2 linked regions of the Sus scrofa genome follow. The protein of the gene in region 2 purifies or fractionates together with the protein of the main gene of each other region. This does not show direct contact. Links are inferred from orthologs where the notes say so. Each region holds a gene or a part of one and is shown on either strand. Other genes may lie near its edges. The genes, in order: EIF3G and EIF5.

Region 1 (4,317 bases), on a different chromosome or scaffold from region 2:
CTCGGCCTTTTGGCTAAGATCAAGTGTAGGAAAGCTCTTCCCAAACAAGGAAGACTAGCTTTGGTTTCTTCAGCTGTAAAATGGAAATAATTTTCTCTCCACAGTTCTCGCAGAATTCAATAACTGAGCTTTATTGCTATTAATAACTTTTTTTTGTCTTTTTAGGGTCGCATCCACCACCATGCAACATACGGAGATTTTAGGGCCTAACCCACACCCGTGGCAAATGGAGTTTCCCAGGCTAGGGACTGAATCATGGCTGTAGCTGCTGGCCTACGCCACAGCCACAGTAACACAGGATCTGAGCCTCGTCTGTGACCTACACCACAGCTCAGAGCAACGCTGCATCCTTAACCCACTGATCAAGGCCAGGGATCAAACCTGCATCCTCATGGATTCTAGTCAGATTCATTTCCACTGAGCCATGATGGGAACTCCTGTTATTAATAACTTTAAATTTTTTAAAAGGTAAATGAATTAGAAAACTATATATAGAACTACCATATGACCCAGCAATCCAACTCTTGGGCACATATCCAGAGAAAACTGTCCTTGAAAAAGATACATGCGCCCATATGTTCATTGCAGCACTATTTGCAATAGCCAAGACTTGGAAACAACCTAGATGTCCATCGACAGATATGGATTAAGAAGATGTGGTATATATACACAATGGAATACTACTCGGCCATAAAAAAGAACAAAATAATGCCATTTGCAGCAACATGGATGGAACTAGAGACTCTCATACCAAGTGAAATAAGTCAGAAAGAGAAAGACACATACTCTACAATATCCCTTGTATCTGGAATCTAATATATGGCACAAATGAAAGTTTCCACAGAAAAGAAAATCATGGACATGGAGAACAGACTGGGGTTACCAAGGGGGAGGGGGAGGGAGTGGAATGTACTGGGAACTTGGAGTTAATAGATGCAATCTATTGCCTTTGGAATGGATAAGCAATGAGATTCTGCTGTACAGCACTGGGAACTATATCTAGTCACTTATGATGGAGCATGATAATGTGAGAAAAAAGAATGTATACATGTATGTGTGACTGGGTCACCTCGTTGTACAGTAGAAAATTGACATAACACTATAAACCAGCTATAATGGAAAAAATAAAAATCATTAATTAAAAAAAGAAGATAAATGAGTTCTTGCTGTGGTGTTGCTGGTTAAGGACCTGGACTTGCTACAGCTGTGACATTGGTCACAGCAGCGGCTGGGATTTGATACCTGACCGGGGAAACTTCCATACGCCACCCGCGGGGCCAAAAAAAAATGGTTAGAACTGCGCCTCTACTCAACTACCTAGTACCAGAGCCCAGCCTCTAATAAGCCAGCGCCTCTACCTCTGTCCACAGGGCGGCACTGTGGGCGCAGCGGCCGGGCTGCTCTAGGCGGCAGAACCGGAAGTCTCGTTCTCCCCACCTTCCGGTCTTTGGCCCAGGCTTGGGCTGCGTGGGGAAGGTTTTAGCTATGCCTACCGGAGACTTTGAGTGAGTATGAGGTCGTGGAGGGGGGCTTGGGAGGCAGATTGGGGGTCCTAGGGCGTATTATGGGGCTCGGGTGCCCCGAGGCCGTGGGATCCGGGCCTCGTCTCACCCAGCCTTCCCCCGCGGCAAACTTGTCCCCGCAGTTCGAAGCCCAGTTGGGCCGACCAGGTGGAGGAGGAGGGAGAGGACGGTGAGTTTGCCCTGTTGCCCAGGATCACCGCAGCCAGCCCCCAGCCCGTCACTGCCGCCTGCTCCAACCCCACCACCCCGACCCTGGCGCCGTTGTCTGACCCAGAATCTCCCTTCACGGCCAGCCCCTGCCCCGCGCCATCCTCATCAGGCCAGCCTGTATCTCCCATTACAGTTGTTCACCGGCCAGTCCCTCTTCCTCCCATGCCACCGTCAAAGTCCTTGGTACCAGCCTAGCTGCTCCCCTGCTCCGGGGAGGAAGTTGTCACAGCCTCTCTCCTGTCTTTGTACTAGCACGGGGATGCCTTTGGCCCGCCCCTGCCTTCATGCCTGGGATCCTCTATGCCGGGCATTGCTGGAAGTCACTACAGTCAGCTCCATGTCCCTGCACGACTCTCCCAGGACACTTCCTGGCTAGTCCCCTACCCTTGGTCCCACCTTTCTTAGCTCCCGGGAGGGGCATCATCCCAAAGGTCCCTCCATTTCAGCTTGGGAGCTCCCCCACCCCCCAGCTGACCCCAGCTCCCCACACTCCCTCTCACAGACAAATGTGTCACCAGCGAGCTCCTCAAGGGAATCCCTCTGGCCACCGGGGATACCAGCCCGGAGCCTGAACTACTACCGGGAGGTGAGTGACAACCTCCCCGCCATCCCTGGGTTGCCTCTTCCCCTGCAGAGTTCCTGCCTGGTCCCCAGTACCCAGGGCTCAGTTCCTCTGTCTCTCCCCCTCTCCCAGCTCCACTGCCACCTCCCAAGGAGGTCATCAATGGAAACATCAAGACAGTGACCGAGTACAAGATAGATGAGGACGGCAAGAAATTCAAGGTGAAGGTTGGGGGAGGAGGTAGATGCCCTTTGCTTGGGGGCTCTTGGACTAGGAGAAAGTGGTGTGTGCTGGGTGGGTTGATGAGGAAGATACCCTGGCCCAGGCCCTCGGAACCTTAAGGAGCAGGAAGCTCAAATTTCTCCCCTCTCCTACCCACAGATTGTCCGCACCTTCAGAATTGAGACTCGGAAGGCCTCAAAGGCTGTGGCAAGGAGGAAGGTAAGACCCTCCTCATCCTGTCTTGGGGCCTCCCCCAGGGCTGACTCAGAGAAAATAAGAATCCTTTTCCCCAGTGCCTGTATTTATTTGGCTATGCCCGGGGCATATGGAAGTTCCCGGTTTACGGGTTGAATCAGAGCTGCAGCTGCCAGCTTACACCACAGCTACAGCGACTCGTGATCGTAGCCACACCTGTGACCTAACCCACAGCTCAGGGCGATGCCGTGTCCTTAACCCACTGCGCAAGGCTGGGAATCGAAGCCATGGATACTGCTGAGCCATAATGGGAACTCCTTAACTGTACCAATTTTGTTGGAGCGGAACTGAGGCCTAAGGGTGTTTGCACTCTGTCGGGGTCCTGAAAAGCCCAGCATGTGCAGGAGTAGGGGGGGTTGTCCGCCAGCAGAAACAAAGCCAAGTCCTCCCCTGAGATGGTCGTAGCAGAAAAAGTCATGGCAGTAAATACATTTGGCACAATTACCTGTGCGCTTTCTCTGCGTTAGACCCAAGCTCTTTGCAGGAAGCGTTTTCCCATTCAGTTCCCCTGGAATTCCAGGGAGGTGGGGGTCCATTGGGGTCCCTTTTCCTGGAGGAGGCAGCTAGGGTTCAGATTGCTTAGCTAGCTCTGGGCCCCTGGAAGTCTGGGTGACCCCTACGCACCCTTGAGCATCACTCCCTGGTAGGAGCTGGTCCGCTACCTGCACCACCCCAGCAGGAGTTGTTGGCTGTGGAGGGGATTGTCCCTGAGCCTCAGTCCTCTAATCTGGAGCATGGAGCCTAGAGCTGCCCTTGCCTCTGGAACTGGTGTGAAGCTAGGGCCTGGCATGCGCTCAGGGAACAGGAACTGTCTTTGTCACTGCTCTGAGGGTCATTTGGGGGAGGCTGGAGAATGGGGTTCAAGGCCCTGGAGCAGACATTGTAAGTCTAGGGAGCCAGCAGAGGGGTCCTGCTTGGCCTTGCTCTGACTTGTCTCTCATCCCACCCTGAGCTCAGAACTGGAAGAAGTTTGGGAACTCAGAGTTCGACCCACCAGGGCCCAATGTGGCCACCACCACGGTCAGTGATGATGTGTCCATGACATTCATCACCAGCAAAGAGGTAAGTAGGCCAGGAGGCTGGGGCCAGTGGCCAGGGTGGTGGCGGCAGTGGCGGGGGGTGCGGCAGTCCCGTCTGAGCTGCCTCTGCCTGCCCTGCCAGGATCTGAACTGCCAGGAAGAGGAGGACCCAATGAACAAGCTCAAGGGCCAGAAGATCGTGTCCTGCCGAATCTGCAAGGGCGACCACTGGACCACCCGCTGCCCCTACAAGGACACACTGGGGCCCATGCAGAAGGAGCTGGCCGAGCAGCTGGGCCTGTCTACTGGCGAGAAGGAGAAGCTGCCTGGAGGTGCTGGGGCCTGGGGACTCGGGGGACAGGGATTGTGTTCACCTCCAGGAGAGTTGTAGGTTGTCACCTGCTGTCTGAACAGGGCCACCGCTGTTGGCAGTTGTCATCTCCCACACAACAGCAAGGCTGCAGCCACAGTCCATGCTTGTGTGTGTGTATGAGAGAGACTGGCGGTGGCTGCTGTGACTGCTGGC
Region 2 (3,813 bases):
ACTCAGGTCATTTCGACTTCTTCGTAAAGTGTTTCATTGTCATCTGGTAACCAGTCCAGCTTGGCACGGGAGGAATGGACATTACCACACGCCAACATGAAGGACTAAAGATAAGACTTCAAAGTACTATTTCTTAATGGCTGAGTAAGATAATTATAAGTTTACGTTCACATTCTGCTGAAGATCTCTCTATAGTCTCAGCACCCAACAATACTAACAGGCTCCAATAATCTTACCAAGTTAAATGATGGTGCAACATTTTTAAGAGGAGCCATTTCAACTTAAGTCATTCGAGCCCCAAATCTGAAGAATGACCAAAATCAAATCTTTATTTTTATAACTGTATAAATGTGATCCAAATGTGTCCACCACTAATTTTTCAAAAAGAAACATGCTATAAATAAGCAAACTACACCTGCTCACTGATGTGTATGGACTCCCTAGATGTCTTGTTGGGTTTAATTACAGACCACTCACAGCAATACATTTTTAGTAGAAAGTGTAGCATGATGTTAAGCCATTTTAGCTTTTGCACATACATGTTGCACTTCTGCCTGATGATGCAAAAAGATTCTCAGCATTACACAGTTAAGCTGGGCTACACCCACCCCTTTAAATGGCATCAATATCAATGTCATCATCCTTGTTGTCAGACTTCACAGCTTCAACTTTCGGTACGCTGGCAGTCTTCGAATACACCACCTGATAAAACAAAAATTTTTTTTTACTTATAAACTATCCCAATAAATCTACCTACAAAAATAGATCAATGGTCAACAAAGGAAAACTACCTAGAGACATTATTCTGCAACAAATTTTTTTTTCCTTTTGTCTCTTTTAAGGCCGCATGTGTGGCATATGGAAGTTCCCAGGCTAGGGGTTGATTCAGTTATAGCTGCTGGCCTACAGCAGTCACCAGCACTGCAGGATCCCAGCCACACCTATGACCTACACCACAGCTCACAGCAACGCCAGCCAAATGCTTAAAGTGAGGCCAGGGATCGAACCCATGTCCTCCGGGATTCAATCAAGTTTGCTACTGCTGAACCACAACGGGAATGCCCAAGAAAATTTTTGTTATTCCAAACTAAGTTAACCTCTCGGCAGCCTAAGAGTTATCTTCGTTTTTGTAGACATTACCACTACACTCAACTTACACCGAAAGAAAACAACCTCCCTTTAGGGAACTCAGACAATATTTTATTTAATTGGAATCATATACAGTATCTGGGAGATTGTATATAGAATTGCCATATAAATTGTCTTTTTATGGCCACACCCCCTAGTTTGGGAACATAGGATGTCTCCAAACTAGGGGGTTAATCAGTTACAGCTGCTGGCCTACACCACAGCTCACAGCAATGACAATTCCTTAACCCACTGAGCAAGGCTAGGTATCAAACCCCCGTCCTCATGGATACCAGTTGGATTCGTTAACCACTTAGCCACGATGGGAACTCCCACTTTTTCTAATAACGTAATTCCTCTATAAACTAATTATTGCATTTAAAAGTTTTAATTTGGAATTGCCAAATATTGGCATTTTATAATTCCCAAACACCCATCACCAGCACCGTATTTAATAATTTCTTTGGTGTTCACCTCGATATTCTCATCTTCATCATCATCTTCACCACCAGAAGATTCTTCCTCTGCTTCCTTCAACCATTTTATAAATGGTTCCGCTTTGACACGAATCTCTTTGGCAAGTTCTTTTGAGACATATTTCTTAGAAGCCTAGAATAAGTTCAATTAAATTTGCAGCTTGAGAAATTTACAAATAACTTGAGTAATTCATGTAATTGCCCATACTCATCTCTCTCTGAGGACTGAGCCAAACCCTAACCTTTAACTCTCAACAGAATAAACACATTCAGCAAGTTAAGTATTAAAAGGCATGAAGTTTTCTTTGGTTACTACTAGAAAGCGGCCATGGTGACGGTGGGAACACTTCAGAGTACGCCAGTCAAGCAAAGAGACTGCATTTCAATAGAGACACTAAATATTACTACTTCAAAAAACATAAAGCCCCCCCAAGCCCCCAGTATTTCTCATCTTGAAGAGCTTGTTTATATATTCCCCACCTTTTCCGACCAGCTAATGATGACTTCTTCCTCCAAAAGGTCTGCGTCATACATCTCCTTCAAGATATGCGGAATTTTGGAGATGAGCTGAGCTTGATGCATTGCTACCACACACTCCAAACCATGAAGAAGGTACCGTTGAGCTTTTTTGTTGTTGTGGCAAAACTGCAAATAGATATCCTGGCATTAACAAGCTTTCTTAACAATTCCAATATCCAAGTGTATTAAATTGCCTTAGGAGAATTCCTTTTATAAAATTTTTATTAAATTAAAAATTTCAAAAAAATTTTTAGGACTGGAGTTCCCATCATGGCGCAGTGGCTGACGAATCCGACTAGGAACCATGAGGTTGCGGGTTGGATCCCTGGCCTCACTCAATGGGTTAAGCATCTGGCATTGCTATGAGCTGTGGTGTGGGCTGCAGACACAGCTAGGATCTGGTGTTGCTGTACCTCTGGCATAGTCTACAGCTCCGATTGGACCCCTGGCCTGGGAACCTCCGTATGCCGCAGGAATGGCCCTAGAAAAGGCAAAAAGACAAAAATAAAATTTTTAGGGCTGCACTTTTGGCTTACAAGTGCAGGGTCGAATCGGAGATGCAGCTGCCGGCCCACACCACAGCTTGTAGGCAATGCTAGATCTTTAATCCATTGGGCCACCAACCAGAACTCGGCCTTATGATTCTCAGATCTCTAATTTACAAATAGTTTTCCAGATACTCTGCTACAGCAGGTCAATTATTTCCATTTTCAGGATGACAGATGGAATAAAAAGATGAAAACAAGGTATCCAAGATCATAGCTGTAAATCTCACTTACGAATGTATAGTAAGTTGCTTACTCGTAAGAAATGGCGCCTGTATTTCTTAATTTGTTCTCTAATCTTCTCATTAAAAAGAACTTCAGTCAAAACAAGAGGGCCCATGGCCTTTACATCCAATCTTTCTGCTTCAGCTACAATTTCTTTGTCAGAAGAGTCAATAATACCCTCTTCTTTCTTTTTCTGTAAATAAAAGGAAGATTCAGTAGGTGGAGGCACATTTTACTCTAGAGATAGATAGTCCTTGCTCCAACTCTCCCCTAATTCAAGACAGTTCTAAGATGGGTAAATGATACACAGTTGCTAAGGACAGTGCCTGAAACTACCCTCAAAAATATTTAAATAAACAGAAAAAAATAGACTTGCGTTTGAGCATTTCAGAAAACAGTATTAAAAAAATTATTTGCCAAGTACACAGCTTTAAGCAAAATCTAACAAAAGTTTAAGACTGGGTAGAAACAGATATGCTGATCAACAGAATATTTAAAGCAAGTATTTTACCTTAACAAAATCAAACAAGATATTGACACGCTCTTCAACAGTTCTTTCCAAATCATCACTGAGGGTTAAAACTTTTGCATGGTCACTGATTTCATCCATTCTGCGCCTTTGAGCTTCCTCTGTTGTATCCTCCCCCCAGTCATCGTCCTCCTCTTCTTCCTGTTTATACGACGGACAAAAATGCTTGGCCAGAGTTCCCACGGTGGCTCAGGGGAAATGAACCTTACTAGCATCCATGAGGACACAGGTTAGATCCCTGGCCTCGCTCAGTGGGTTAAAGATCTGGCGTTGCCAGGAACTGTGGTGTAGGTCGAAGACATGGCTTGGATCTGGTATTGGTGTCTGTGGTATAGGCCAGCAGCTACAGCTCTGATTTGACCCCTAGCCTGGGAACCTCCATGTGACATGG

What was found.
Region 1: the proteins of EIF5 (region 2) and EIF3G purify together in Homo sapiens (affinity purification with western blotting; 3 studies listed by BioGRID and IntAct, with this or other methods). This does not show direct contact. The link is inferred for Sus scrofa from reciprocal best matches to the Homo sapiens genes EIF5 and EIF3G.

Annotation. Positions count from the first base shown.
Region 1 is NC_010444.4:68,967,724-68,972,040, reverse strand, and holds the start of EIF3G (eukaryotic translation initiation factor 3 subunit G), read left to right. Parts: upstream 1-1,392; 5' UTR 1,393-1,485; coding exon 1,486-1,505; intron 1,506-1,645; coding exon 1,646-1,692; intron 1,693-2,235; coding exon 2,236-2,319; intron 2,320-2,427; coding exon 2,428-2,516; intron 2,517-2,676; coding exon 2,677-2,736; intron 2,737-3,729; coding exon 3,730-3,834; intron 3,835-3,933; coding exon 3,934-4,123; intron 4,124-4,317. UniProt on the Homo sapiens protein: RNA-binding component of the eukaryotic translation initiation factor 3 (eIF-3) complex, which is required for several steps in the initiation of protein synthesis.
Region 2 is NW_018084979.1:1,906,524-1,910,336, reverse strand, and holds part of EIF5 (eukaryotic translation initiation factor 5), read right to left. Parts: intron 3,564-3,813; coding exon 3,405-3,563; intron 3,087-3,404; coding exon 2,925-3,086; intron 2,250-2,924; coding exon 2,085-2,249; intron 1,738-2,084; coding exon 1,603-1,737; intron 703-1,602; coding exon 613-702; 3' UTR 1-612.